Canis lupus familiaris: one gene and its partners. The protein of the gene in region 6 binds, or shares a complex with, the protein of the main gene of each other region. Links are inferred from orthologs where the notes say so. Each region holds a gene or a part of one and is shown on either strand. Other genes may lie near its edges. The genes, in order: KAT2A, TADA3, MBIP, YEATS2, TADA2A, SGF29 and KAT14.

Region 1 (4,156 bases), on a different chromosome or scaffold from region 6:
TACGTGGCAGTAGCAGAGCCATCTGCGGGCAGAGGGGAGGTAGGATGGAGAATGGAGACACTAAACCCAGGTTGGGCTTACGAGCACAAGCACCCCCACCCCTACCCCCTCCCCCACCCCCCGCTGGCCTTGGCCAGCCCTACCTGGTATAATTGACCTTGTAAGTAGCCACATCCTCAGCCTGAGACCGCTGCCGAAATTGGGCAGGAGTCTCAAGCTTCCAGTAGTTAAGGCAGAGCAGGAACATCTTTGAGAGTTCAAACATCGTCTGCCGCTCCCGAGGAGCCAGGTGACTAAACTTATACTGCACAAAGTTCAGCACACCCTGAGAAGGGGTGGGTAGGGAACAAGACCAGGAAGGAGACGTGAGCGGCCAGCAGGGGTTTCTTATACAAAATCTGGTGCTTCCTGAGGGCAGGCTAAAGCTCCCCTCTCACTCGGGCTCTCTGTGAAGAAAAATTGTGCCCCCTTCCCAGCCCCATGCCCATCTTGAACATCCTCCCTTCTCTGAACCTGTCCCTTGTTCTCAGCTTGAGGAAGATGGGGAACACAGGCTCCTCACTCCTCCAAGATGCCCCCAATTCTCTTACTACCTTCCTCATCCCACCTGCTCAATATTAGGCTTCTCAAATGGGGGACTGCCCAGGGAGCCCTCCACCACTGGCCGGGTCATCTGCAGGATGCATTTCCGCAGGAGCTGGAGGAAGAGGAAGAGGGAGGAGTAGAGGTCAGTGGAGCTCAGAGCTGCAAACTCCCCAGTCCAGCCCCACCTCCTTTGCTCATTCACACTCACTTGGATGAAGCTCACCTTGAAGAGGTAGAAATAGACCTGCTTAGTGTCCGTGTCCTCCTCTTTGTGAACAGACATGAACAGGTTCTCCACGTCTACCACCATACCCAGCAGCCGGTTAATCTCATCTTCTGACACATTCTCCAGGTGGGACACGTGGTCAGCTGCAAGAAGGAAAGGTGGTAGGATTGGAAAGAAAGGATAGATGACGAGAGCTCTCTCTCACTCTTCATCACCAATTTACAACCTTGGTAGCTCCAAACAGCATGACCAGTAGTGAGACTGACTGCTACTATGTCAGCCTTGGGTGGACCCTGTCTATTCCGGGCTGGCAAATTTCCTTTCTCTTCCCTTGGGAGGGATACATGTTCCCAACCCAATCCCTCCTTCGGAGGCATTTTTGGTTCCAAAGATAAAACTCAGTGGCACTTAAATTATCCTGTCCAAGCAGGCCCCAGGACCTGCCCCCGCCCCAGCTCCAAGGGCACTACCTGCCTTACCCAAGGGGTGCTCACAGCTGCGGCACAGCTCGCTCAGGTTGGCAGCTGGCTGCTGCAGGTCCATGCGGGGTGCAGTGGGGGGCTTGGGGTTTTTCCAGCCATTACACTTGCAGGTTTCATTGGCCTGGCGTTAGAAAACTCGGTCAATAGCCCTGTAACCGGGCACGGGGAGCCGATCCCCAGCCACAGATTTGCCCCCATTCCCACCGGAGCCCTGGGATGCCCCAAGCCCCGCCCCTTCTCACCCCAGGCCCCGCCCCCACCTTGCAAGCCGAGAAGACCCCTAGCTTCTCAAGCTTCTTGGCGCGCGGCAGCCCCCGGACTTGCGCCTTCCTCTGGCTGGCGCGCTGCTGCTGGCTCAGGCCAGGTCGAGCCGGATCCCCTCCGCTCCCGGTCCCCCCACTTCCTACCCCGGGACCCCCAGTCCCTGTGCTGCCGGCTGGGGCTGCAACTGGCGCGGGGGCTGGTGCCGGAGTGGGAGCCGGAGTCGGGGCTGAAGCCGGGCTGGGGGCAGGAGTCGGAGGTGGGGCAGGGGCTGGAGACTGAAGGGGACGGGGCTGCGTGGCCGGAGCCGGGGTCGAGGCCTGGGAAGGTTCCGCCATGGCCTCCCCCGCAGCGGAGCGCGGCGCGGCGCTCCTAGCCCTAGGGCCGCATGGGCAACCGGCGCTCGGTGCGCAGGCGTCGCTGCGCCGGAGCATGATGGGAGTTGTAGTCTTCCACGACCGCTCCCTCCGTTTCTGGCTTCCAGACTTTTCTGTCCTGCCTCTTGGCCCCAGACAAGCAAGTGAAGCCTGAGCCATTACCCTAGATTGTCTCCTCCTCACTTCTAATCTCTTTGAAGTCTTATGGGATAGCGAGGATTGCCGTTTTCTTGGGGACTTGGAGGAGCATCTGAGAAAACAGGCTCCTGTTGAGGGGAATCACAGATGCTGCCCGGGGTCGTGTTGGCTTCCGCCCCTCCACCCCCTGTCCCTGTCCCACACGTCTGCGGACACGGAAGTGCAGCCACAGCGGAGATTAAGAAGCAACACTTCCATTTCTTGCCCCGTGGAGGTGGCTACATGGGGGTGCTCTCTGGGGGATAATTCAGTGGTACTCTCTGGTGCGCTTCTTCTATTATGTTATATTTCAGCAATAAAGGATTATCATAAAAGCCGTGAGCGCCTGAAGGCAGGGTTCGCGTCTTCCTTCTGTCCCAGAGCCCAGCCCTCAGGCGGCCACAGTAGACCCAGAGTCTGACGAATGAAGGAAACCAGGAAGTCGCGGTCACCTCCTAAGCCCCGTGTCACAAGACCGTGCGCGGTCAGGATGGAAGACCCTCACGGTCACACCCCCGGGCTCGGTTCAGGGGACAGCCCTTCTTGTCCTCAGGCCTGATTCTGGGAAGGGCAAGAGCCCGGCTCCATCTCGCCTCCGCCCTGCGCTGGTGAGCGCTACAGGGTCGGCTGGTCTGCGCTGGTGGGTCACCGCCCCGGGAGCCAGGATGAGAGCAGCAGTGGCGCGCCAGGGCGGTGACCACCAGGCCTGCGGAGACCGGACTGGCGTAGCAGGCGGCCGCGGAGGAGCGGAGGAGCCAGGCCGCCCCAGGGCCTCTCCCCAGGGCGCGCAGCCGCACCCCCGCCCCCCCCCCCCCCCACGCCGCCGCCGCCACCGAGCGCCCAGAGCCACGCCCAGGGCCTCGCGCCCTCGCCCTCGGACAGCAGTTGCTCAGTCGGATGCAGCGGGTTGGTAGCGGTCTCCCCAGCGGGAGCCAGGTGGCATCCCGCTGTCCCAGCGTGGCCCTTGCCCAACAGAACCAGGTGGCCACACTGCCCGTACGGCTCCTGAGGGACGATGTGGTGACTGCGCAGAACAACTTCCATGCAGAGAATGGCTTCCAGATGAAGGTGGATGCCTGTGGCTTTGCCCCGGAGGAGCTGGTGGTGCAAGTGGACGGCCAATGTCTGATGGTGACCGGCCAGAGGCAACTGGAGGGCTGCAGCCCAGATGGGGCTGGCTACCGTGTGGCGCAGAGGGTGCATCGGCAGATCCAACTACCACCGGACCTGGATCCCACTGCCGTGACCTGCAGCATGACCCCCTCCGGCCAGCTGTGCGTCGGAGGCCAGTGCCAGGGCGCTGCCTTCCCAGGAAGCCCAAAAAGGCCCATCCCCGAGACTCCGAGGCCATGGCTCTAAGAAAGGTCAACCTACCCTGACCCAGTAAACAACAATTCTAGTGTGCAGCAGCAGCCTTGGTGTTCTGTGGTCTTTTCTTGGGGTTGGGATCAAAGGTGGAGGCATAATGGAGGTAGAGAGAGGGCCAGTGGAGGGCTTAGGGAGGCAGGAAAAGCACTTTACGGTGGTGGTCCAACAAGAATCAGGCCTCTGTGGCCCCGGGAGGAGCTGGGTCCGGGGCTCAGTAGACCAACAGCCCTGTGCTGGGCAAATGACAGCAGCAGCTCCAGCAGGGAGCAGCAGAGGGCCAGGATGGCAGCGGGGGCACCAGGCTCCACAACCAGCAGAGGGCCCCGGCAGACCAGAGATCAGATAGATACAAAGACTGGACTTGATGTGGGGTGGTCTCTTGGTCTGAAGACCAGGCAAAGGTTCCAGAGATCACCTGGGAAGAGGATGAGAAGACCCAGTCCTTCACAAGGTACAGACTAACCAAAAAACCCCAAGAGGTGGTTTCTGTTGTTTCAGAGACCAACTATTTTCAAATACAAACTGCACATCACCCCAATATAATCTGGAGGGGGGTGGGGGCAAGGCTAATACAAGCCCTCAATTTCAAACTTGGGGAGATTCAGCTCTAGGTCACTCTCACCACCACCACCCCCTTACAGCTGGTACCAGTAAGGGCCTCTTTCTCTTGGTTACCATAA
Region 2 (3,500 bases), on a different chromosome or scaffold from region 6:
GTGAAGGCAGGTGCTCAACCACTGAGCCACCCAGGCATCCCCCAATGAAAGTTTTAAATATGCAGAAAGACTCAGCATTTCTGCATGCATAGACTTTTTTTTGTTGTTTTAAGATTTTATTTATTCATGAGAGACACAGAGAGAAGCAGAGACGTAGGCAGGGGGAGAAGCAGACTCCATGCAAAGAGCCCGATGTGGGACTCGATCCCGGCACCCCGGGATCACACCCTGAGCCAAAAGCAGACACTCAGGCACTGAACCACCCAGGCGTCCCAGCACGAATAGACTTAAGTACAGGGTTGTTTATCATAGTGCTTTCCATATGGTAAATGACCTAAATGTACATCTGAAGGGGATTGGTTGGATAGAGTTGTGACTCCATATGATGAAATAACTTGTAACTATTAATCATCTTAGAGAAACATAGTTAATTGATGTGAAAATCTGTAAACAATAGAGTGCTAAAAGGAGAACATGTCAGTTGAGCATACTAGGGTTTGATCCTGTTTTTACTCAGCATATACTTAAATATGTGCACATTGGGAAAAAAACTAAAATAATGTGTAATAAAAGATTGGAGAGGGACGCCCAGGTGGCCCAGCGGTTTAGCGCCTGCCTTCAGCCCAGGGCATGATCCTGGAGTCCCGGGATTGAGTCCCACATTGGGCTCCATTCATGGATTCTGCCTATCCCTCTGCCTGTGTCTCTGCCTCTCTCTCTCTGTGTCTCTCATGAATAAATAAAATCTTAAAAAAAAAGAGAAAAGATTGGAGATAAGGTAACAAAATCTGAAGTATGTATGGTATATAAGGAATATATCATAAAATATATTTTTGTATATGTAACATTAATAGCAAAATAACTAATGTTTTTGATAGTAACATAAAAAGATAGTGGTTCTAAGTTGTTGGCATTATAGGTTTTTCTATATTCTTTGACAACGGCTATGTGTTGGCTTGTGTTTGAAACAAGACCAGATGTGTCTGTCTCTATATTTTTTCCAGCATATTGAACAATAATTGATATACATCCCTGTGTGAGTTTAAGGTGTACATGTACAAAACACTCACGTGGCCTGATTTACGTGTGTTGTGAAATGATTACCACAATGGGTTCAGCTAACATCTATCTCACATAGATACAAGAAGAAGAAAAAGAAAAAAAAATATTTCCCTTTGTGATGTGAATTCTTAGGATTTACACTTTTCATAACTTTCCCTATGTATCATACAGTAGTGTTAGGTACAGTCGTCATGTCGTATATGGTATTTTAGGACTTATCTCATAATTGGGAGTTTGTACCTTTTGATCACCTTCTTCCAGTTGTCCTCCCCCCATCCTCTGCTTCTGGTAGTGGAAGGTCTGCTCTCTTTTTCTATGAATTTGAGTTTTTTGTTTTTTGATTTTTTTTTTTTTTTTTTTTTTTTTTAGATTCCACATAGAAGTGAGATTGTATGGTATTTGTTATTCTCTCTCTGACTTATTTCACTTAGCATAATGCATTCAGAGTCCATCCATGTTGTCACAATTGGTAGGATTTCCTAGTTTTTCTAGTTTGAATAATCTTGTATATATACCACAATTTCTTTATCCATTTGCCCTTCAATGGACATCGAGGTTGCTTTTGTATCTTGACTATTATAAATAATGCTGTGAACATGGGGGTTCAGATATCTTCTCAAGTTAGTTATTTACATTTCCTTTATGCATATTCTCAGAATTGAAATGGCTTATCATATGGGAGTTCTGTTGTTAATTCTTTGAGGATCCTCCACATGGTGTTCCACAGTGACTGCACCAGTTTACCTTCCCCAACAGTGCAGGAGGGTTCCCTTTTCTCCAAATCCTCGCCAATATTTGTGATCTTGTCTTTTTGATGATGGCCATTCTAATAGGCCAGAAGTGATAACTTGTTGTGGTTTTAATTTGCATTTCTCTAATAACTAGGGATGTTGAGCATCTTTTCATATACCTGTTGGCCTTTTGTATATCTTCTTTGGGAAAATGTCTATTGAGAACCTTTGCCCAGTTTTTAATTGAGTGGGTTTACTGCTTTTGAGTTATAGGAGTTCTTTATATATAGTGGATATTAACTTCTCATCAGATACATCATTTGCAAATATTTTTTCCCATTCTGTAAGTTATCTTTCCACTTTGTTGATGATTTCTTTTGCTGTACAGAAGTAGTTTTTTGATGTAGTCCCACTTGTTTATTTTGTTGCTTGTGCTTTAGGTGTCACAGCCAAAGTCATTGCCAAGACCCATCGCATGTCAAGGAGCTTTATTCCTAGATTTTCTTCTAGGAGTTTCATGATTTCAGCCCTTAACATTTTCTCTATATTTTTATACCTAGATAGAGAGGGGGTACCCAAAGAGAAAAGAATGTGTTCACTAACCTTGGAACCTCTCAGGGGTCCCCCGTCTAAGGCGGCCCTTGAGCTCAGGATTCTCTTCCTCTGTAGTGTGCCACATACCAAGTCCCTTGAGAGCCGCATCAAGGAGGAGCTGATTGCCCAGGGCTTGTTGGAGTCTGAGGACCGCCCTGCAGAGGACTCAGAGGATGAAGTCCTTGCTGAGCTGCGCAAACGGCAGGCTGAGCTGAAGGCACTCAGTGCCCATAACCGTACCAAGAAGCATGACCTGCTGAGGTGAGTGTGGATGGGTTACATGGCCGGGCGGGGGTGGGGGGGGGTGCCTAGGGAGAAGGCCTGGGCCGCTGCCAGTCACCTTCTGGGGGTTTTATAACAGGTTTCCTAAACCTGGCAGGGTTTCCAAATCATCTAGAGAGCCTTTGAAAAAACATCATTGCCAGGCACCACAGACTCTAGGGCTCAGGCATCTGTGATGGATTTATTTACCTATTTGGAATTGTGGTGGAAAAAAAACATATAAAATTGGCTCTTTAAGCCATTTTTTAGCGTATAGTTCAGTGGTATTACTTATATTCACATTGTTGTGTGACTTATTTTTTATGCTTCTTTTCTTTTTCCCCCAACATACTTTTATGAAAATTTTCATAAACACAGAACATCTGAAGGAGCAGTACAATAAATACCAATATACTCTCTAGATTTATCAACTGTTAACAATTTTGTTGGACATCTGTGATTATTATTGGCCCTTCACTGAAATTGTCCAGTATTTTAGTATCCGTTATTTAGGCAATTGGTCACAATATCTTTCATTTTATATTGACTCCCATCCATCTTGCCCTGTGTTGGTCATGACAAAAGTATAGGTGACATCTGGAGGGAGATTATGGTAGTTGTTTGCCTTTCTGAGGGAAGGTAGAGAAGCAGCCTCATTGGCAAGCTATGTGTCTTCGCTTCACATAGCTCCAACAAGGCAGGACACACATGATTTGGCTGGTTCTGCCTGTCTCTTATACATTGTCCTGGGGGGTAGGAGGAGAGGCAGAGCAAAGGCTTGTGGTCTACAAATGAGCTTTGGTAAAGAGTTATACCATTAAAAAGTGAGGGAACTGCTGACAAGCTGCTAAG
Region 3 (4,003 bases), on a different chromosome or scaffold from region 6:
GTATTACATTAGTTCAAATACTGATGTTATGAGTTGTGATTCTAATAAAACAAAAAGATGAATCACTGTACAAAGAACCAGAAATCCAAAGTTACCCAAAAAAGGCAGTATACTTAATGAATACTGTATGACAAAAATTTACCACCTTTTCCATGAGACAAGAAACATTTAAAGTCTGTATCAGACAACTATAAAGAAATAAGAAATTTTGGATAGGCTACACTGGCAGAGATTAGATTATATTAACTAAAGTTTTACATTAAGATTACTGCATTAATCTTAGTTTATATTATTTAATTACTGTACTTCTACAGTCCTCTAAGAGATCTACAGTTCCTAACAAATTTATAAATAGAGTTTTGGGATAACACAGACAAATCCTCAACTAAAGTAAAGCATCAAATTTCCTAAAGAAAATAAACAAATAAAATAAATCTTAATGTTGGGATCATATTCTCCTTTCAATTCAGCATAATTATGTAAGCCTTTCAAGCACAATTAAAGACACTTGGTTTTTTTAAAGAAAACTACATAATGATACAAATTAACTTTAAAATTATCATAATATATCCAACTATTTATTCAACAAATTCCCTATTAGTAATACGAATTCGATGCATTTTTACCCTTTATAACTTGTAAACGTAAAGCATTCACTCAAAAATGTATTGGTGTGACATTAATATGGACTATTTAAGTAAGCATTTTCCATAAAAAATTAGTATGAAACTCCAAGCTAACAATAAATAATGCTTCAACTTGGTAGAATGAGCCATGCTGTGGCAAGCAATAAGGTTAAAATAAGTAAATTTGAAATCTGGGATACTTTTTAACATTCAATTTTATGTTTCCTATTGAGGAGAGCCAACAATATAATGATACTATGCAGAATGAAACTAGGCATATTGAAACTTACTTTTTTTTTTTTTGAAACTTACATTAAAAAAAATATCCTATAAACTTGTTGCAAAAGTACATAGTGATTTCCTCCAGGGGCAATTTTATAATATTGTGGCTTTCATTCTTCCCTTTAAACAATACATCTCAAAATATAAAGACTAATATCAAAATAGTATTTAATTGATGAGACAATGATTTAATTTTTTGACACCTGTATAGATGGTCCCTTCAATGTGTCATGTAAACTTTCCAAATATGTACTCTCAACATTTTTGACAGGTGACATAAGTAAACTTTAATCACAAAATACGCGAATGTTTAAAATCTGTAAATGAGTTTTAAAAATTCAGTATGCAAAAATATTTCAAAAGAAATGTTTAAATTATTTCTTAATGTTACTTTAAAAAATTTATCACCACTGAAAATAAAACTGTAAATTACAGGTAAGCATAAACTTTTTTCATCGTGACATTAAAATATAAATAAACCTTAAAATTCCAATATCCAAGACAGAAAACGTTCTCAGACTTTTAACCATTACAGGTCTTGGGTGATAAGACTAAAATGTTAATGTCCCCAAGTCTTTAAAAAATTTTAATAAGTTGGCGGCAAACAACTGAGCTCAACAGTTACAACTTTTAGCAGATTCTGTTAATAATTGTTCCGTTAGACCAAATTAAATGTTTAACTTAGAGTAATGCTTTTTCTAAGGACAAACATATTAGGATTTTTAAAAATACTGAAATAACCTTTTAAAAAATTAATTCTCCATCCACTCACGGCTTTTAAAAATAACTTTTTACAAACTAGACAGGTGTTGTTTTCATAAACATTATCCTCGACATAAATGTTTGCTGTGCCTACTACATGCACTAATACCAACCCCATAACAAACTTTTAGAGTAAAAAAATATTCCGTCTAAGATACAAAAGATTTCCTTTTTAAAAGCAAACAAACTTATTTTCAAGTTGTTTATCATTTGTAATATGCTTTGCATTTTATTTCATGAAACAGTTGACTTGATTGAATAGTGTAAGGAGTACTTTTATTTAAACCCAATTTATTATGACATTTCTGCAGAAGCTATTCATCAGTCAGTTAAATTAGCTAATAATTAAATGACAAACAGTTCTGATGCAAACTCTATCAATCATGGATAACTCATCGAATTTTATGCAAGAAGTATTTACATTAATTCCTTTCATTTTTCCTCCCCATATGAAAGGGTAAGAGATGCACATGTAACAACCAGAAGGAAAAAAAAAAAAAGAAAGAAAACCAAGTGACTCCTAAAAGCAAATCAACCCCCCCCCCCCCCCAAAAAAAAAGCGGAGAGAGCTTTGCCAAAACTCTCAGGCCGTTACTTCTATCAATTTCTATCACAAATTCACTGAAGGATAGGGGATGCTGAGCGCCAGGCACCCTCCAAACCCACAAAGCTTTTTACGCCTTCGCTCTCTCCAAGCATGTTCTTCTGGGAGCCAGGTTTTTCACTTACACTATCCTCTCACTCTTGGGGAGAATTGCCAGCCCGTACGGCCTTCCTCGCTCCGACCGCAGCTAGGCTCAGGCTCCTCCGCCGGCCTCAGTACTCAGTCCCGGTCCCCGGCAGCCCTAAGCAGCCCCCCGCCTCCGCTAGAGGAAAAAAGGGGGGAGGGGCCGGAGAGTTCCCAACCCCCTGCTCTGCTCCCACAGACCACCACTCACTTGTCCCACCAGGCTATGCAGTGAGCGAAAGATTTCGCGGAGCACCTCTTGGGAGAGATTGGGGCTGCAGCTCCGTTCCGGACTCCTGTCACCACTGCTCGAGAGGCTAAGCTCAACGGCAGCAGCCATGACACCTTCGCAGGCTACCCCCGCCACCACCGAGCTGTGCTCACAACACCCGCCCCCCTCGCCCGCCCGCTTGCGTCGCCGGTAAATGACGTAAAAACACAGCGTCTCGTCCGGCCCGGGCCTTCGAGGACCCTCGTGACTGACAAGCCGGTGCGCCAATCAGGTGCAGCTGGAGCGTCACGCCAAGGAGCCGGAGCGGGTAATTGCCGACCTGGCGGAGCTGCGTACGGAATTTGGGACGGTGATTGGGGCGGTGGTCTAGGGAACGTTAGCGTCTGAAGCCTGTCTTGTGTTTTTAGGTGTTGCTTATGAGTGTTGAAGAGGAGACTTAGACCTAAACGTCAGAATTTTAGAAGTTAAAATTTTAGCTTTTAACATGGCGCTGTGGAGTGGTCTGGACAAAGATTGCTGTTCGGGGGTGCAGCAGGGCCCACACCTCTACACCCTGGAAAACTCTTTCACGTACGCTTGTATTTAGAACATTTTCACTTCTGCAAAGTTTAAAAACTTACACAAATTAACGTGACTAATTTTTCATGTGAGGGAGCAGAGGCTATAAAAGAACAATAAAATGCTCTACTGTTCCTGCTGTACTATCAATGGAAGAAAGGACATTAATTACTTTAAATCTGCAAAATAATTATGTCAAGTTTTAAAACGTGCATCAGTTGCTATTCTCTGAGTGATACTGTAGAGACACTCACCTAAACCTTTCAAAGAAGTGAGACACTCAAAACGATTCTAACAGTTTAATTCAAATAAGTAATTGCATGCAGCACAATCTTTGAAATTAGAAAAAATAAATGCGAATTGAAATTTGACAGCGTATTACTCATCAGATAGATTTATTAAAAGATATTTGAAGTACTTTTATAGTCCAACATTTAAAAGCTTTATGTTCAATTGAAGAAAAGAACAAAGGTTAGAAGAATTTTAAATGTTAAGCTCTATTAAAAAACAAAACCCGTCAGTTCAGAGATTAGGGACAAGGTATTTAAAATTCTTAATTCTAATAGTCTAATGCATTTACAGTAGAGGAAGCAAAGGTAGAAACTTGCACAATATGTATTCTTCAGTTTTAGAGTAGGCTGAATGAAAAGGAGCAGAATAGGCATCAGAGAACTGGAATGGGGTCAGTAGGGATAAAAGAACGCCTTTGACCTGTCCCTAGGGAGCCTCTTAATTAGGCTTTCATTTCCAAAGATCACCAGGCTTGACAGGATCTTGAGAAATCTTGTCTGTTCCCTTGTTCACAGCAAGATATAC
Region 4 (3,500 bases), on a different chromosome or scaffold from region 6:
ACCACACTGGCTGCAACCATAAGCAGGTAAGAAGAAATAAGCTAAGATTTAAAAGAACTGCCTAAAGAATTTTGGGGCCTCATATCTGTTTAAGTACTAAGCGCATCCGACCAAAGGGAAATTAGCACTCAAAGAAACCAAATACTACTAATATGAAAAGACTGATGATTAAGAAAGAAAAGAGAAGATGCTTAATTATCATAATCAAGAATGAAAGGGGGGTGCGCCTGGGTAGCTCAGTTGGTTAAGCATCTGACTGTTGATTTCAGCTCAGGTCATGATCTCAGGATCATGAGATCGAGCCCTGCAGCAGGCCCCATGCTGGGTATAGAGCCTGCTTAAGATTCTCTCTCTCTGTCCCCACAACACCCCAATCCCCACTTGGGCACTCTTTCTCTAAGAAAAGAAAAGAAAATGGGGCCATCATTAAAGATTTTACAAACATTAAAAGGATAATAAAGGACAATTATGAACAATTTTAGTCTAGTAAATTCAACCACTTAGATGAAATGGACACATTCCTTTACAGATATAACTTACCAAACCTCCCTCAAGACAAAACAAATAACCTGAATAGTCCTGTATCTATTAAATAAATTTAAATTGTAGTTAAAAAACCTTCCCAATTAACAAGACTCCAGGTCATTATGGCTTCACTGGTGTACTCTAAACAGTTAAGGGGGACACCTGGGTGTCTCAGTAGTTGAGCCACTGCCTTTTGCTCAAGGCATGATCCCAGAGTTCTAGAACTGAGTCCCAGTTCAGACTCTGCAAGGAGCCTGCTTCTCCCTCTGCCTATGTCTCTCTCTTTCTCTGTGTCTTTCATGAATAAATAAATAAAATCTTTTTTTAAAAAGTCACGGAAGAAATAATACCAATTCTACCGAAAATCTCATGAAAAACTGAACAGGAAAGAAAAGTTGCTAACTCATTTTAGGAGGCCAGCATTACTCTGATATCAAAATCAGACAAGAATTATGAAGAAAACCACTAGCCAATAACTCTCACAGAAATTCTAAACAAAGTTTTATCAAATGAAACCCAACAACACATTAAAACAGGATAATATGTCACAACGAGGTAGGGTTTATTCCAGGAGTACAGGGCTAGTTTAACACCTTTTTAAAAATGTTTTTTAATTAATCTCTATGCCCAATGTAAGGCTCTAATTCATGACCCTGAGATCAAAAGTCACATGCTGCACCAACTGAGCCAGCCAGGCACCCATTTTAACATTTTAAAAATTAATGTAATTCACCACAACAAAAAAAGAAAAAAACACATGATCTTCTCAATAAAACACAGAAAAAATATTTGACGAAAATCCAATATCCACATTCCATGCTTTGAGAACTATTGATCTACACACAGAGAAAATGAATGATTTTTTGATAAATGGTATCACACTGCCCCTATCCTTCTATACCTTGTTTGCTTCATTTGGTCAACTTTTTGAGATCTAGCTATAGATTCTCCTGCAGGTGATTCTGACATCCCTCACCAGCTAAAATGCCCTGTCGCTATTCTTTGGCTTACACACTAAAGAATGCTGTAGAAACATGTACCAAGTCCCCTACAACATTTACTTTTTACAGCTGGCCCTTGAACAACACGGGGTTTGAACTACACAGGTCCACTTATACATGGGTCTTTTCTTTTTAATTGTTATTTTAAGTAGACTCCATGCCCAATGTAGGGCTTGAACTCACAACCCTGGTATCAAGAGTCACAAACTCTACTGACTGAGCCAGTCAGGTACCCTATGGGTTGTTTTTGTTTCTTTTTAAAAGTAAATACAGTATAGTTCTGTAAATATTTCCTCTTCCTTATTATTTAATAACATTTTCTTTTCTCTAGCTACTTTTTGTCAGAATAGAGTATATGATACATATAACGTACAAAATGTGTGTTAATTGACTATTTGTGTTATCGGCAGGGCTCCTGGTCAACAGTAGGCTATTACTAGTGGGGGAAGTAGAGTTACATGGGAATTTCCCACTGCCTGAGAGGTTGGCACCTCTAAACCCCACATTGTTCAAGGGCCAACTGTATATGGATATTGTAGCTATAATTATCTATTATACTATTCAGAATCTCTTATATGAAGTTTCTCCAGTGAAGTTTTAGAATGAAGTAGCAAGAAAATTTTGTTTTTTTAAGAAAGTATTATGTGTGTATTTCTTTTGCATCTCACAAATAGTGTGAATTTTGTAACTGATCATGCTTTTGATTTGCTTTGGCAAGTATTAGTAATTATAAAAGACATAACTGCGTATCTAATAACTCTGGCTTTATCTTCTCATTTCTAACTCATAGTTTTCTCAAATCTCAAGATTTTATTCTTATTTTTTTATACTATTTAATTGTTTATTTTCTCATCTTTAATCTCGCATCTTTAATTTCTTTGTGGAAAGAAAGAAGCTGTAAATGTTTAAATAAATGCCATAATATCCTATATTTGGGGTATGTGTGTGTGTTTGCCTATTTACCTGGGTAAACAAAGTGGTTTTCTGTCCAGAGATGACTTTTAACGTCTGTTGTCCTTGTGCAGAAGATGTGCTGACTCCCAGGGTTCCCTGGACCACTGATCCAGTAGTCAGCTGTTTTCCAGATGTCTGCGGTGATGGCTGACCAACTAAAAATGTACCCTAAGTTAGAAACAAAGATCTACTCAGTAATTTGTTAAGTGAAAATGACTTGCCCTGACCCTATAAATCACAAGGTCCCATGTTACAAGCTACGATGCTCACCTTCAATTCTGCAACTCAGCCAAAATAACTAAAAAGAACAGCTCTGCCCTCAGTTCCACTACCAACAGCTAGCTAGCCCCACTTCTGAAACTCTGCACAGTAGTTATGGAGCAGGCTGCTGGACAGTCAAGTTCTACAACCTAGTCTTTAAATCTGAATTATTCAGACTGGTAACTACCCATCCTTCTCATTAAGAACATCTAGACCAGAATTCCACGACCTTCCTTAAGAGAGGAGTCAAGATTTAAAAGCAACTAGGGGAAAGAAGGCAGAAACTTATTCTTAATCATGAATCCAATTCAACTCCAAATACCAAAACTTGATAGTATTCCTCTGGTTACTCCCTTGCAAGAGAAAATTTTCAACTGTCTCTTAATACTATTCATTAACTCATGGATTTGGGAGGCAACAGTGTAGCAAAAATTGAGTCAGAAAGCTATGAGTTTAAATCCAAATTCTAGCATTGGCTTAGCAGAGAGATCTCGTACTTAAGTCTTTCTGAACTTCTATCTCCTCTCAAAACAAGCTCAAAATAATAAAGATTCCATGTGGCTATAGTGTTAGTATTGACTCCCAATCCCAGAGATGTAAAAACAAATCCAGTATAATTAAAGGAAGTTGTTAATAACTAAAGGATTTGAAAGATACCAGTCACGAATGATCAGACCTGAGGAGTCTGCTTCAGGATGTAAGATGTGTAAGTCAGGTGCTGGGATATCCCTCCAGGGCCCGCGGGGCTCTGGGCTCCTC
Region 5 (3,500 bases), on a different chromosome or scaffold from region 6:
GGGATTGAGTCCCACATCGGGTTTCCTGCATGGAGCCTGCTTCTCCCTCTGCCTGTGTCTCTGCCTCTCTCTCTCTCTCTGAATAAAAAAATAAATAAATCTTAAAAAAAAAATACAAATGATCAGACCATGCATCACAAAATTTTAAAAGACTGAGACTAAAAATTAGAACACAAAATCCTTTTTTTGGGGGGGGCACAGCAGATTCTCAAATCTAAAGGAGCACCTCTCTTTTGTCATCACTCTTATTTTACCTGAGATGATCCATATAATGGAATTTATAAGAATTAAACAGATGAGTCTTTACCGGAAAGACCACTCATTCCCAAAAGGGAAAGCTTGTTTTAAAAAAACCCACATCACTTCAAACAGAGACTTCCTCTTTGTGTTTAGAAGAGACTTGCCCCCCAAACAATGTGTAGCTTAATAAGCACACTTACTACAAAAATTGGTGATGCCTGCTGTCCTGTATTCCTGGAGCCTCTTGATTTCCCTTCGGAGTTCAAATTCCACTGTTTATCCCAAAAAGAATGAAGGAGAAAAATTGGAAAAACAAAATCATCATCAGTAAGCACTGGTGCTGTTGAGTATTTTCAGTAATACTGCCTTATACAAAAGACAGGGCAATTCCATGTGAGGAATCCTATTATGTTAGTGACATCTCATTAGAAATTTTACTCAAGAACTGAGAAAAATCTACTCTAGCCATCTTTTCGCTGCCATCTCCAACTGGAAAAAGCAGCTGGAATTGTCTCCCAGAAAACATACAGTAAACTGGCTGAGTTCATTTAGCTACAGAAGTAACAAATATAATTTTCTTAAACAACTAAGTTTCCCTGCTCTATTTATCCTCTAATAACAGTTTTATCCACGTAACCAAATTCTTTTATAAAACCTGTCTCTGCTATTACTTGATGTGGTCCTTTTGCAAGCAAAAGACAAAAGCTCTGTGCTCAAGTCCTAGATAGTTTCTTGACAGCTTTTCTCCTATAGGAACAAAAGAGCATTGTTTTCCATAGACCAAAGATTTCTTCCTCTGAGTGCACAGATCAGGTTGCAACTACTTGGGTTATTATGTGATAGAACATTCAAATTTGAGTGCTTTGAAACAGAGGATGAAGGAAGAGCCTGGACAATCCATTGGGTGTAGTTCTTTAGAGTGACACATAAACCAGGGATGGCACAAACTGGGGCAGGAAGTAAAAGATCAGTCACCTAGTACAAATCACAAAAAGAATGCCAACCAAACAGGGTGTTTGATGAGGACAACCGACCTGGCTCAGATAAATGCCTACAATGCCATGCAAGAAATATTTGCATGATGAGAACAGGACAAGAGCCCTGGTAAAGCATTTTCCCCAGGACTAAATTTGAGGGTCAAATACACAAATCTTGTGATGAAAAGGTATAGACTAAGCCACTTAGTCCAAATTATTTTAAAATGTAAGCCTTATGGCCTTAACAAACTTTAATTTTTTATAGTGAAAAATCAAATGAATTCTCTCAGACAGGCAAAAAAAAAAATGGCAGAAGCACTGGGGTGCCTGGCTGGCTGAGTCAGTTGAGCATGGACTCTTGATTTCAAGCCCCAAAGCCTGGGATTTGCTTCAAAATAATCCAGTTGAGGGTGAGAGAAGAGGGGGTGATAAAAATGAAAGTGGATTGGTCATGTATTAATTGCGGAGCTGGGTGATAGTTACATGGGGGTTCATTACACTATTATCTCTACCTTTGTATATATTTGAAAACTTCCATAATAAAAAGTGAGGGGAGAAACTACTAAACTACTGCTTAGCTGAGAAAAAGGAAAGCTACTGGGCTTTTTAACTCCTTCTCTTCCACCCCTGAAGTCCCAAATTTAGTTCAAGGTAATAAAGGGGAAGAGAAGACAAAAATATCCATTTATTTATTTATACAACTTCACCTAAAACATACCATTTTGTCTATTTATATCAACACACACAAACACAAATATTTGCACAAGGGTTAAAAAGCACCTACGTGCATGGCTTTCAATGAACTTGTCGTGCTCCACTGGCCCCACTATCCTTGCAAATCGCCTCATTGTTTCGTAAAGGTCTTGGACTTCCTTGGGATACCGTCGTTCCATTACTACAGAAAAAATAAAACACGACCATGCCATAGAAAAAATAAAAATCTCTACATTCTCATTAAATGGAAGGACAGACACTATTCCTAACCTGACTAATTTACCCATGACAGGAAGCAAACAGGAAAGCCAACAATGCAAAACACTAATCATAAAGATAACAGCATCACAGTGACTATCACATAGGGATATTGTTATTCCTGGAGAACTGAAGATCATCTGCATTACTGAACAGCCTGTGACCTCCACACCTCAGTCTCTTAATTTGTACAGGGGCAGGGACTGCTGGTAGTAATGGGAAAGACAAAGGTAGATCATGCATTTTTAGGAACAATGTTGGGCAAAATTTCTGGTATTAACCTCTGCAGGAAAACAAGGGAAATGCAGACACAATAATCCATCTAGAAGAGGCAGACTAGCCTATAAAAAATGTGTGATCTCTTCCATATCTACTAGAAATCTCCTTACCAACACATCCTCAAGTGAGACATTTATTTCTTCACTCTCTATAAGGGTCGTTTTGCCTTCCTCTAAGTACCACAACTTAATTTACTACTAATGAAATTATATTTTCATAACTATCATCCAAGTAAATGGTCATATATACAGGGTAGCCACAGTCAGTAACTCTGAGGATCACTAATGACCACATCCCCCCACCCCACTTTTTTTTAAGATTTTATTTGTTTATTCATAAGAGAGAGAGAGAGGCAGGCAGACGGAGAAGCAGGCTCCATGCAGGGAGCCCAATGTGGGACTTGATCCTGGGTCTCCAGGATTAGGCCCTGGACTGAAGGTGGCGCTAAACTGCTGAGCCACCTGGGCTGCCCTAATGACCACATTCCTAATAAAAAGTACTATCAGCAAAGAAGATGGGGAGTAAAACCTACCAACAATAAGTGGTAGGTTGGAGTAGCCAGGAACTGCTACTTGGTCATTTCATTCAGATGAACTAAGCTGAAACTTATTAGGTGAGTTAATCAGTAACTAAGCTAGTTCTGCTCACTTCTAGAGTATAGATACATGCTTTCCATTATGATAGTTATTTAAATTAAGTCCTCTTGGGCAGCCCAGGTGGCTCAAGTAGTTTAGCACTGCCTTTGGCCCAGGGCCTGATCCTGGAGACCCAGAATCGAGTCCCATGTCAGGCTCCTTGCATGGTGCCTGCTTCTTCCTCTGCCTGTGTCTCTGCTTCTCTCTCTCCTCTCTGTGTATTCTCAGAAATAAATAAAAACAATCTTTAATAAATAAATAAATAAATAAAGTCCTTTTTTCAGCTGAATCTCTTCCCTTGAAAGAGAGATTCTTATCCACAAAGTTCAGGTGCTGATTTCATGGGCAGCCACTGATTATTTTCACTACCAAAAAACCCCCCACAACCAAAAGCAAA
Region 6 (3,022 bases):
TGGGAGGGGTTGGAGGTCATTACCAGCGCTAAGAGGCAGGGGCTCTCAGTGACCCTCTACAGACTTGGAAGATTGTGCCCCGTCCCCTAAGGCTTCTCTCCCCCTTGTACCTGAGGCAGTAGCCTCCTTCCTGCTACCCTCCCCCACTCACACTTCTTGCTGCGGTAAGCAACCTGCTGCTTTGTGAGAACCATCCTTCAGATGGGAGTTTACAGAGGGTGTTGGCTTCCAAATCTGAACTTTTAGACTGCTGTGGCTCTCCCACCTCTCTTACCCTTTCAGTGAACCCACAGTAGGCAGGCTGCTTGCCTATCAAAACGTCACACTGCCAGTTGGCTTTGTGCAACTTTGAGTGTGTTGAGCCATGCCTGAGAAGGTCAGGAGACTGTCTACATTCTTTTTTTTATTGAATGACATCTACTCAGTAGAGGACTGACCTAACTGTACAGAGAACTTTATGAAATTTTCACTAACCAAGCAAACAGATGTGACCAGTACCTCAGAACCCTTCTTTTGCCCTCTTTGGTTCCTTCCCTGCAAGGGGATCTTGAGAGCAACATCTACCAGATCTGTGAGAGCAGATTGGGCCTCTGACGGCAAGCATCTGCTGGGGGGCCCTTGGTGGTAATTAAGGAGGTGGGCCCCAGGCTGAGCTCCACTGATGGCTCCGTGCACCGGTACAAACGAGGGTCCGGGGCAGGAGCCCCATCTCTGGGGCCTCAGGGGCGCGCTTCCTTCCTGCAGCGGCCAAGATCGCGGGCCTGTACAATGACTCGGAGCCCCCCCGGAAGACCATGCGCAGGGGGGTGCTGATGACGCTGCTGCAGCAGTCGGCCATGACCCTGCCCTTGTGGATCGGGAAACCTGGTGACAAGTGAGGGCAGGCCCGGGGTCAAGGGGCGGAGCTGACAGGAGGGAGGGGCTGGGACTAACCTCTCAGTTCATCCTCAGGCCCCCACCCCTCTGTGGGGCCATTCCAGCCTCTGGGGACTACGTGGCCAAACCTGGAGACAAGGTGGCTGCCCGGGTCAAGGCCGTGGATGGGGATGAGCAGTGGATCCTGGCTGAGGTGGTCAGTTACAGCCACGCCACCAACAAGTAAGTGGACACCCGGCCCTCCGTGGACTCTCCCATCTGTAGGCTGGGAGAAGAGCCCCCCACCCCACTCCAGGGTCCCTGTGGGGACAGGGATGATGTGTGACTCCAGCTCCCTGGGATGCTTCCCCTCCTCATCGCTCTCCGGTTCGGACCGTGCATCTCCCTGCATCCTCTGTTTTCTCTTTGTTCTCCAGGTATGAGGTAGATGACATTGATGAAGAAGGCAAAGAGTGAGTGTTGGGCAGGGAGGGACCATGGAAGCTGCTGGGAAGGAGCCTCCCACCTGGCTGTGGGTTGATCTAAGCCCCCCTTCCAGGAGACATACCCTGAGCCGGCGGCGCATCATCCCTCTGCCCCAGTGGAAAGCCAACCCAGAGACAGACCCCGAAGCCTTATTTCAGAAGGAGCAGCTCGTGCTGGCCCTGTATCCTCAGACCACCTGCTTCTACCGTGCCCTGATCCACACGCCCCCACAACGGGTAAGGTAACCCCTGCAGGGGAGACAGACCATGACACCAGGACTGGGCTGACCAGATGGTCTTGGGGTCACCTTCCACTTTTTCCCCTCCTGTCCTCATCTGACAGCCCCTCTGAGCTAAGAGAGTCCTGCAAGTTTCTCCCTCTCTCCTGCTTACTCTGCCCCATAGGGGCCCTCAAGCCCTGTCCCCTAAGGCAGTGCCAGCTAATCCTCAGAGTCCTAGCAAACCCCGAGTGGAATGGAACCAGTATATCCTCTAGTCTCACCCCACTTTTGCACTGAGACGAGCAGCCCTGAGGTGGGAAGCACTGTGCCCAGGACCTGTCTTCCCTGCCTTGACTCATCCACCACTGGCCTTTCTTCATCTGAGGCCATGCTCCCTTGTGCTGGTGACCCAACACCTGATGGCAGCTTCAAGGCTGCTCTGCTTGCTTCCTCCAGGATCCCTGCCTGCTGCCCTCGGTGTTTTCCCTGATCTCCTTCTTAGAGGGTCCCCAAAAGGCACCAGACTCTCCATGTAGAATCCCCCCAACGTAGACCGCGAATCTTCCTCCTCCCTGCTCTTTGTCCCCTGGCACTTTGTTGCCGAGAATAGGGTTGTGTCATAGCAGGAACTAAATTCTGAGTGAAGATGGGGACAGGAGAGGCTGGGAGCCCGTGTACCAGAGGTTTCTGTCAGTCTGGGCTGGGGGGCCTTGCCTGGGGGTCTCTGACTAGCCCCTCCTGTCTGCCCCCTGCCGCAGCCCCAGGATGACTATTCAGTCCTGTTTGAAGACACCTCCTATGCAGATGGTTACTCCCCTCCCCTCAATGTGGCCCAGAGGTACGTGGTGGCTTGTAAGGAGCCCAAGAAAAAGTGAAGTGGGCTGGCAGACTCAAGATCTCCTGCCACTCCCCCAGGGGAATGCAACAAAAGATTGTGGCAAATAAATATTGTTCCCCTTTGCCCACGTCTCCTCGGTTTTGTTTTTCCAGGCCCTTCTGCCCCTCCCCATACCAGGGCAGGTTGGGGAATTGGAGAGCTGGAGGGAGGGAAGATAGCTTCATTTGATCCCAGGGGGAATTCCTTCCAGCTCAGGTTTGCTTTTTGCTTGCATTAAAGGCTCTCAGTGTAATACCAATGGAATTTTATTTTTGAAGCTGGGGGCTGGCTGTGTCAGAGCACGGGGCCTTTGGGTGCCTCCTGGGGGCACTGCTCACAGCTGTGTGCGGAAGCTGAGGCCACAACCCTCCATCTTCTTGGCATAGTCGGCATCAAAGCGCTCATTCTGGGCCACAGTGAAGGTGGTCTTCCAGTCCCCCGAGATGCCTGTGGGTGGAGGAGAAGGTGGCTGCAGGTCCCGGCTGCAGAGCAGGCCCCAGATGGCCCAGGCCAACTCTTGCCTCCGTTTTCATGTTTGCCTCCCCAGATGGCCATCCTGCATGGGTACTCACCTTTCCTCATGA
Region 7 (3,500 bases), on a different chromosome or scaffold from region 6:
AAGGGTGGGAGCAAAGACCCCGAGAGCCCATACTGTCCTGTTCTTCACCTTATACATATACAGCTGACAAGCTCTTTTGTACAAATGCTACATTTTACAATAAAGGGGATAAACACAAAATAATTGTATGCATAATGTTGGAGGCACCCAGAGTAAGGTCAGAAGTAGCAGATGCTTCTGGAATGTTCCTTTTGGCCCCCATACCACTCCTAAAAGAATGAGCACAACTCTACCACCACGTGCACTATTACCTGACTATCAGACAAGAAAGATGACACAGCACTAATCCCGATGATATCTTATCTAACATCTAGAAGACATGTAATATTTCTCTTGCGTTTCAAAGCAGCGCAGTAAGGCAGATCCACAAAGAACATGTTTATATGTAGTGACGAAAATGCATTCATTCCTTTACTTGGTGGCTTGGGTCTTCAGAGAGACAACATATTGAGGCTGATAAAATGACAAATCACACTGGGTTTACTCTTATTTTCAAAGTCTGCAATTGGGGTATTTGGCTTTTTAAAAATGCCTTTTGGCTGTACTAACACTCTCCCCAAGGAATAGCTAAATAAACAAAATCACAGAATTATTAAGCAAAAAATCAAAAGTGTCCAGACATGCCCAAGCTACCAGTCAGTGTATCACTGGTAGACATTATTTGGTATCTAAACTTATGTAGAAGCAAAACAGGTTGAAACTTTTATCCTGGAAGCAGAGACAGGGAAGAGAAACATACAAAAACACTATTTATTACTTTAATTGCTGGCTTCTTTTTGATCTCAGAAAAAAAAAACGTGTTTATATTTTATTATTTCTATCTTAGTAGAGACAAACTAAATGAAATCATGAGTAAAGGTTTTAGAATCACACGACATACATTAATTAAAAAAAAAATCAATAAAGTGAACTACACAAAACACTGATTTGCTTAGTTTCGAAGGGGAACATACCAGGCCAAAAAAACTCCTGACACATAGAGTTTATCGTTGGGATGTGATTTGGCCGGACATAACAGTAATCAAGAGGTGCCTCGGCTTCCGGCATCCAGTGAGGGTCACTCCTGTGCAGGTGGGAACGAATCTGTGACAGGAGCTGCAGTTTGGGTGGCTTTGTTTCATAGTCACGCCTCCAGGATCACAGAAAACAACAAATTCAAGTAAGAAAAATATCCGTTATTATTCCTAGCCAAGTTATTCACATAAACTATTCTGCCTGAAAATTTTAAGCTAACTTGTGCTACTTCCTATGGCAGACAGCTTGGTAACTTGATAGCCTGACAGTTTTCTGGAATGAAATTTAAAATTCGCTCTGTTAGGGGTGCCTGGGTTGCTCAGTCAATTACACATCTGCCTTCGGCCCAAGTCATAATTCCAGGGTCCTGAGACAGAGCTCTGCATCCAGCTTCCTGCTCAGTAGGGACTCTGCTTCTCCTTCCCCCTGCTCCCTGCTTATGTTCTCTCTCACTCTTTTCTATCTCAAATAAAACCTTAAAAATAAAATTCTCTCTATTAACATGCATCAGACCAAAGCACTCTGTACCTGTACTCTGGAACCCTACTTGTGCTGGTGAGCCTTAATGGACAGAATGAGGGAACACACAGCAGCCTGATTCCAGCCTGCGTGCTCTGGCCCAGGAAAGAGCCTGAGGAGGGAGGGTGCAGGTCCAACGGGGCTGCTGGGGCAGGCTTGCATGCGGCCTCTCACAGGCTCTGCCAGGGATGGCGGTGCTGGGCAAAGAGGATCAGGTGATCTAGAGAAAGCATGGTCAATAAGACAACACAACTTTCTCAAGACAGCACTAGGGACCTCTCTAGTTAGCTTAGCTTCCACAGCACTGCCTAGACAATGAGACTCATCATCACCCTCAAATATGAGCCCAACTGAGATGTCTCTCCCATTTTTTTTTTTTCATTTCACAGACTACTGAATATATATAACTTTAAAATTTAAAGAAACTCAATAATGAGTATAATACTCATAATGAAGTCTAATGGAGTTAACTTATCCTTGCTTTTTAATTTCTTCTATTTTTATTTTTATTTTTAAAGATTTTATTTGAGGGACGCCTTGGTGGCTCAGTGGTTGAGCATCTGCCTTCAGCTCAGGGCATGATCCTGGGGTCCTGGGATCGAGTCCCACATCAGGCTCCCAGCAGAGAGCCTGCTTCTCCCTCCACCTATGTCTCTGCCTCTCTCCATGTCTCACTCATAAATAAATAAATAAATAAGATCTTAAAAAAAAAAAAGAAAAGATTTTATTTGAGAGAGAGTGAGTGAGGGAGAGAGCACAGCCAGGGTGAGGGGCAGAGGGAGAGAATCCCAAACAGACTCCCTGCTGAGTGTGGTGCCTGATATGGGGCTTGATCCCAGGACTCTGGGATCTTGACCTGAACCAAAGGCAGATGCTTAACCGACTAAGCCACCCAGGCACCCTGCTTTTTATATTTCTTTCAAAGGACCATCATTTCTGCAAAAAACGTATAGTTGAAGCAAACAAAAGACTGAACACAGAGCACAGACTCAGTCTGTGTCAATGCCTGCTCACAGGGGTTGGTCTAGACTTGCTCCAATGGGAAACCAGGGCACAGAAGCCACAAATACCATTCCTCACAACACACTCAACATCACAGCTCTTTTCCACATACCTGATATAAGGTTTCAAGATCCGAGAGGTGTAAGGGCTGACAATACTCTGGTCCACAGCCATATCTTCCGATCCCACCAAACGATATAGAAACCTAGTGGTCTGGTGCCGAAATCCTTTCCTGGATGGCAAGGCAGTCTAGGAGAAAGAAACGCTGGTTATGTCAAGATAAAGTCACTGAAAGGATTGGTTTGATTTCAGAGAATTAGTATGTACATATTCTAATGTGTCAGAAAGTAGGCCTTTTTGTGTTACTTATTCGGAACGCTCAGATTTCAATACAAATCTCACAGGTACCACATAAAATTAGATATGAAAAACCAATCTTGGTTCTCACAGTTTAAAATTGAAATAATTAAAAAAATTTTTAAGTTAAAGATCTTAAGTCATTTAAGTGAGTGAAATTCAAGACCGAGCACTGGATTTACGGTTTCTGTAAGTTTCATTCTACCTAATAACATCTCCAATCCACAGTCATCAGATATTAACACACTAAAAACGTGGGTTCTGCTGCAGGAGTATTCTGTTATCCACAGAGCAGCAGGGACCAATTACAGCTGCTCCTGTATACAGATTTATTAAAAAATGCCTCTATTCCGATGAGTAAATTTAACAGGTGTAGGACTATCATTCCTATGACAAATCATGAAAGCAGAGAGGCCCTACCAGGGGTTGAATGAGGAGGTGGCTCTGTGTTCCTTAGGTGGGTGTCCTGATAGAACAGGTGGGCTTCACCCTGGAAGCCTGACTAGAGATGCCAGCACTAGGGAGTGCTGCTCCAGGGCCCTCACCATGTAGTAACAGAACATGTGCAATTAAGGTTTTATAGCAAAGAGCCCAGATGGAAGATTAAA

The links.
Region 1: SGF29 (region 6) and KAT2A share a complex: the UniProt entries of both Homo sapiens proteins name them as parts of the ADA2A-containing complex. The link is inferred for Canis lupus familiaris from reciprocal best matches to the Homo sapiens genes SGF29 and KAT2A.
Region 2: SGF29 (region 6) and TADA3 share a complex: the UniProt entries of both Homo sapiens proteins name them as parts of the ADA2A-containing complex. The link is inferred for Canis lupus familiaris from reciprocal best matches to the Homo sapiens genes SGF29 and TADA3.
Region 3: SGF29 (region 6) and MBIP share a complex: the UniProt entries of both Homo sapiens proteins name them as parts of the ADA2A-containing complex. The link is inferred for Canis lupus familiaris from reciprocal best matches to the Homo sapiens genes SGF29 and MBIP.
Region 4: SGF29 (region 6) and YEATS2 share a complex: the UniProt entries of both Homo sapiens proteins name them as parts of the ADA2A-containing complex. The link is inferred for Canis lupus familiaris from reciprocal best matches to the Homo sapiens genes SGF29 and YEATS2.
Region 5: SGF29 (region 6) and TADA2A share a complex: the UniProt entries of both Homo sapiens proteins name them as parts of the ADA2A-containing complex. The link is inferred for Canis lupus familiaris from reciprocal best matches to the Homo sapiens genes SGF29 and TADA2A.
Region 7: SGF29 (region 6) and KAT14 share a complex: the UniProt entries of both Homo sapiens proteins name them as parts of the ADA2A-containing complex. The link is inferred for Canis lupus familiaris from reciprocal best matches to the Homo sapiens genes SGF29 and KAT14.

Annotation. Positions count from the first base shown.
Region 1 is NC_049230.1:20,651,246-20,655,401, reverse strand, and holds the start of KAT2A (histone acetyltransferase KAT2A), read right to left. Parts: upstream 2,801-4,156; 5' UTR 2,091-2,800; coding exon 1,554-2,090; intron 1,415-1,553; coding exon 1,291-1,414; intron 955-1,290; coding exon 809-954; intron 698-808; coding exon 608-697; intron 326-607; coding exon 144-325; intron 23-143; coding exon 1-22. Other genes in the region: HSPB9 (heat shock protein beta-9), read left to right, coding at 3,006-3,467. UniProt on the Homo sapiens protein: Protein lysine acyltransferase that can act as a acetyltransferase, glutaryltransferase, succinyltransferase or malonyltransferase, depending on the context.
Region 2 is NC_049241.1:8,529,778-8,533,277, forward strand, and holds part of TADA3 (transcriptional adapter 3), read left to right. Parts: intron 1-2,462; coding exon 2,463-2,648; intron 2,649-3,500. UniProt on the Homo sapiens protein: Functions as a component of the PCAF complex. The PCAF complex is capable of efficiently acetylating histones in a nucleosomal context. The PCAF complex could be considered as the human version of the yeast SAGA complex.
Region 3 is NC_049229.1:15,070,287-15,074,289, forward strand, and holds the start of MBIP (MAP3K12-binding inhibitory protein 1), read right to left. Parts: upstream 2,801-4,003; 5' UTR 2,738-2,800; coding exon 2,609-2,737; intron 1-2,608. UniProt on the Homo sapiens protein: Inhibits the MAP3K12 activity to induce the activation of the JNK/SAPK pathway. Component of the ATAC complex, a complex with histone acetyltransferase activity on histones H3 and H4.
Region 4 is NC_049255.1:16,916,523-16,920,022, reverse strand, and holds part of YEATS2 (YEATS domain-containing protein 2), read right to left. Parts: coding exon 3,418-3,500; intron 2,649-3,417; coding exon 2,490-2,648; intron 1-2,489. UniProt on the Homo sapiens protein: Chromatin reader component of the ATAC complex, a complex with histone acetyltransferase activity on histones H3 and H4. YEATS2 specifically recognizes and binds histone H3 crotonylated at 'Lys-27' (H3K27cr).
Region 5 is NC_049230.1:37,195,765-37,199,264, reverse strand, and holds part of TADA2A (transcriptional adapter 2-alpha), read right to left. Parts: intron 2,113-3,500; coding exon 2,002-2,112; intron 513-2,001; coding exon 441-512; intron 1-440. UniProt on the Homo sapiens protein: Component of the ATAC complex, a complex with histone acetyltransferase activity on histones H3 and H4. Required for the function of some acidic activation domains, which activate transcription from a distant site. Binds double-stranded DNA.
Region 6 is NC_049227.1:18,345,519-18,348,540, reverse strand, and holds the end of SGF29 (SAGA-associated factor 29), read left to right. Parts: intron 1-744; coding exon 745-874; intron 875-951; coding exon 952-1,098; intron 1,099-1,292; coding exon 1,293-1,328; intron 1,329-1,414; coding exon 1,415-1,577; intron 1,578-2,319; coding exon 2,320-2,436; 3' UTR 2,437-2,522; downstream 2,523-3,022. Other genes in the region: SULT1A1 (sulfotransferase 1A1), read right to left, coding at 2,773-2,885, 3,011-3,022. UniProt on the Homo sapiens protein: Chromatin reader component of some histone acetyltransferase (HAT) SAGA-type complexes like the TFTC-HAT, ATAC or STAGA complexes.
Region 7 is NC_049245.1:5,328,165-5,331,664, forward strand, and holds part of KAT14 (cysteine-rich protein 2-binding protein), read right to left. Parts: intron 2,785-3,500; coding exon 2,648-2,784; intron 1,130-2,647; coding exon 954-1,129; intron 1-953. UniProt on the Homo sapiens protein: Component of the ATAC complex, a complex with histone acetyltransferase activity on histones H3 and H4. May function as a scaffold for the ATAC complex to promote ATAC complex stability. Has also weak histone acetyltransferase activity toward histone H4.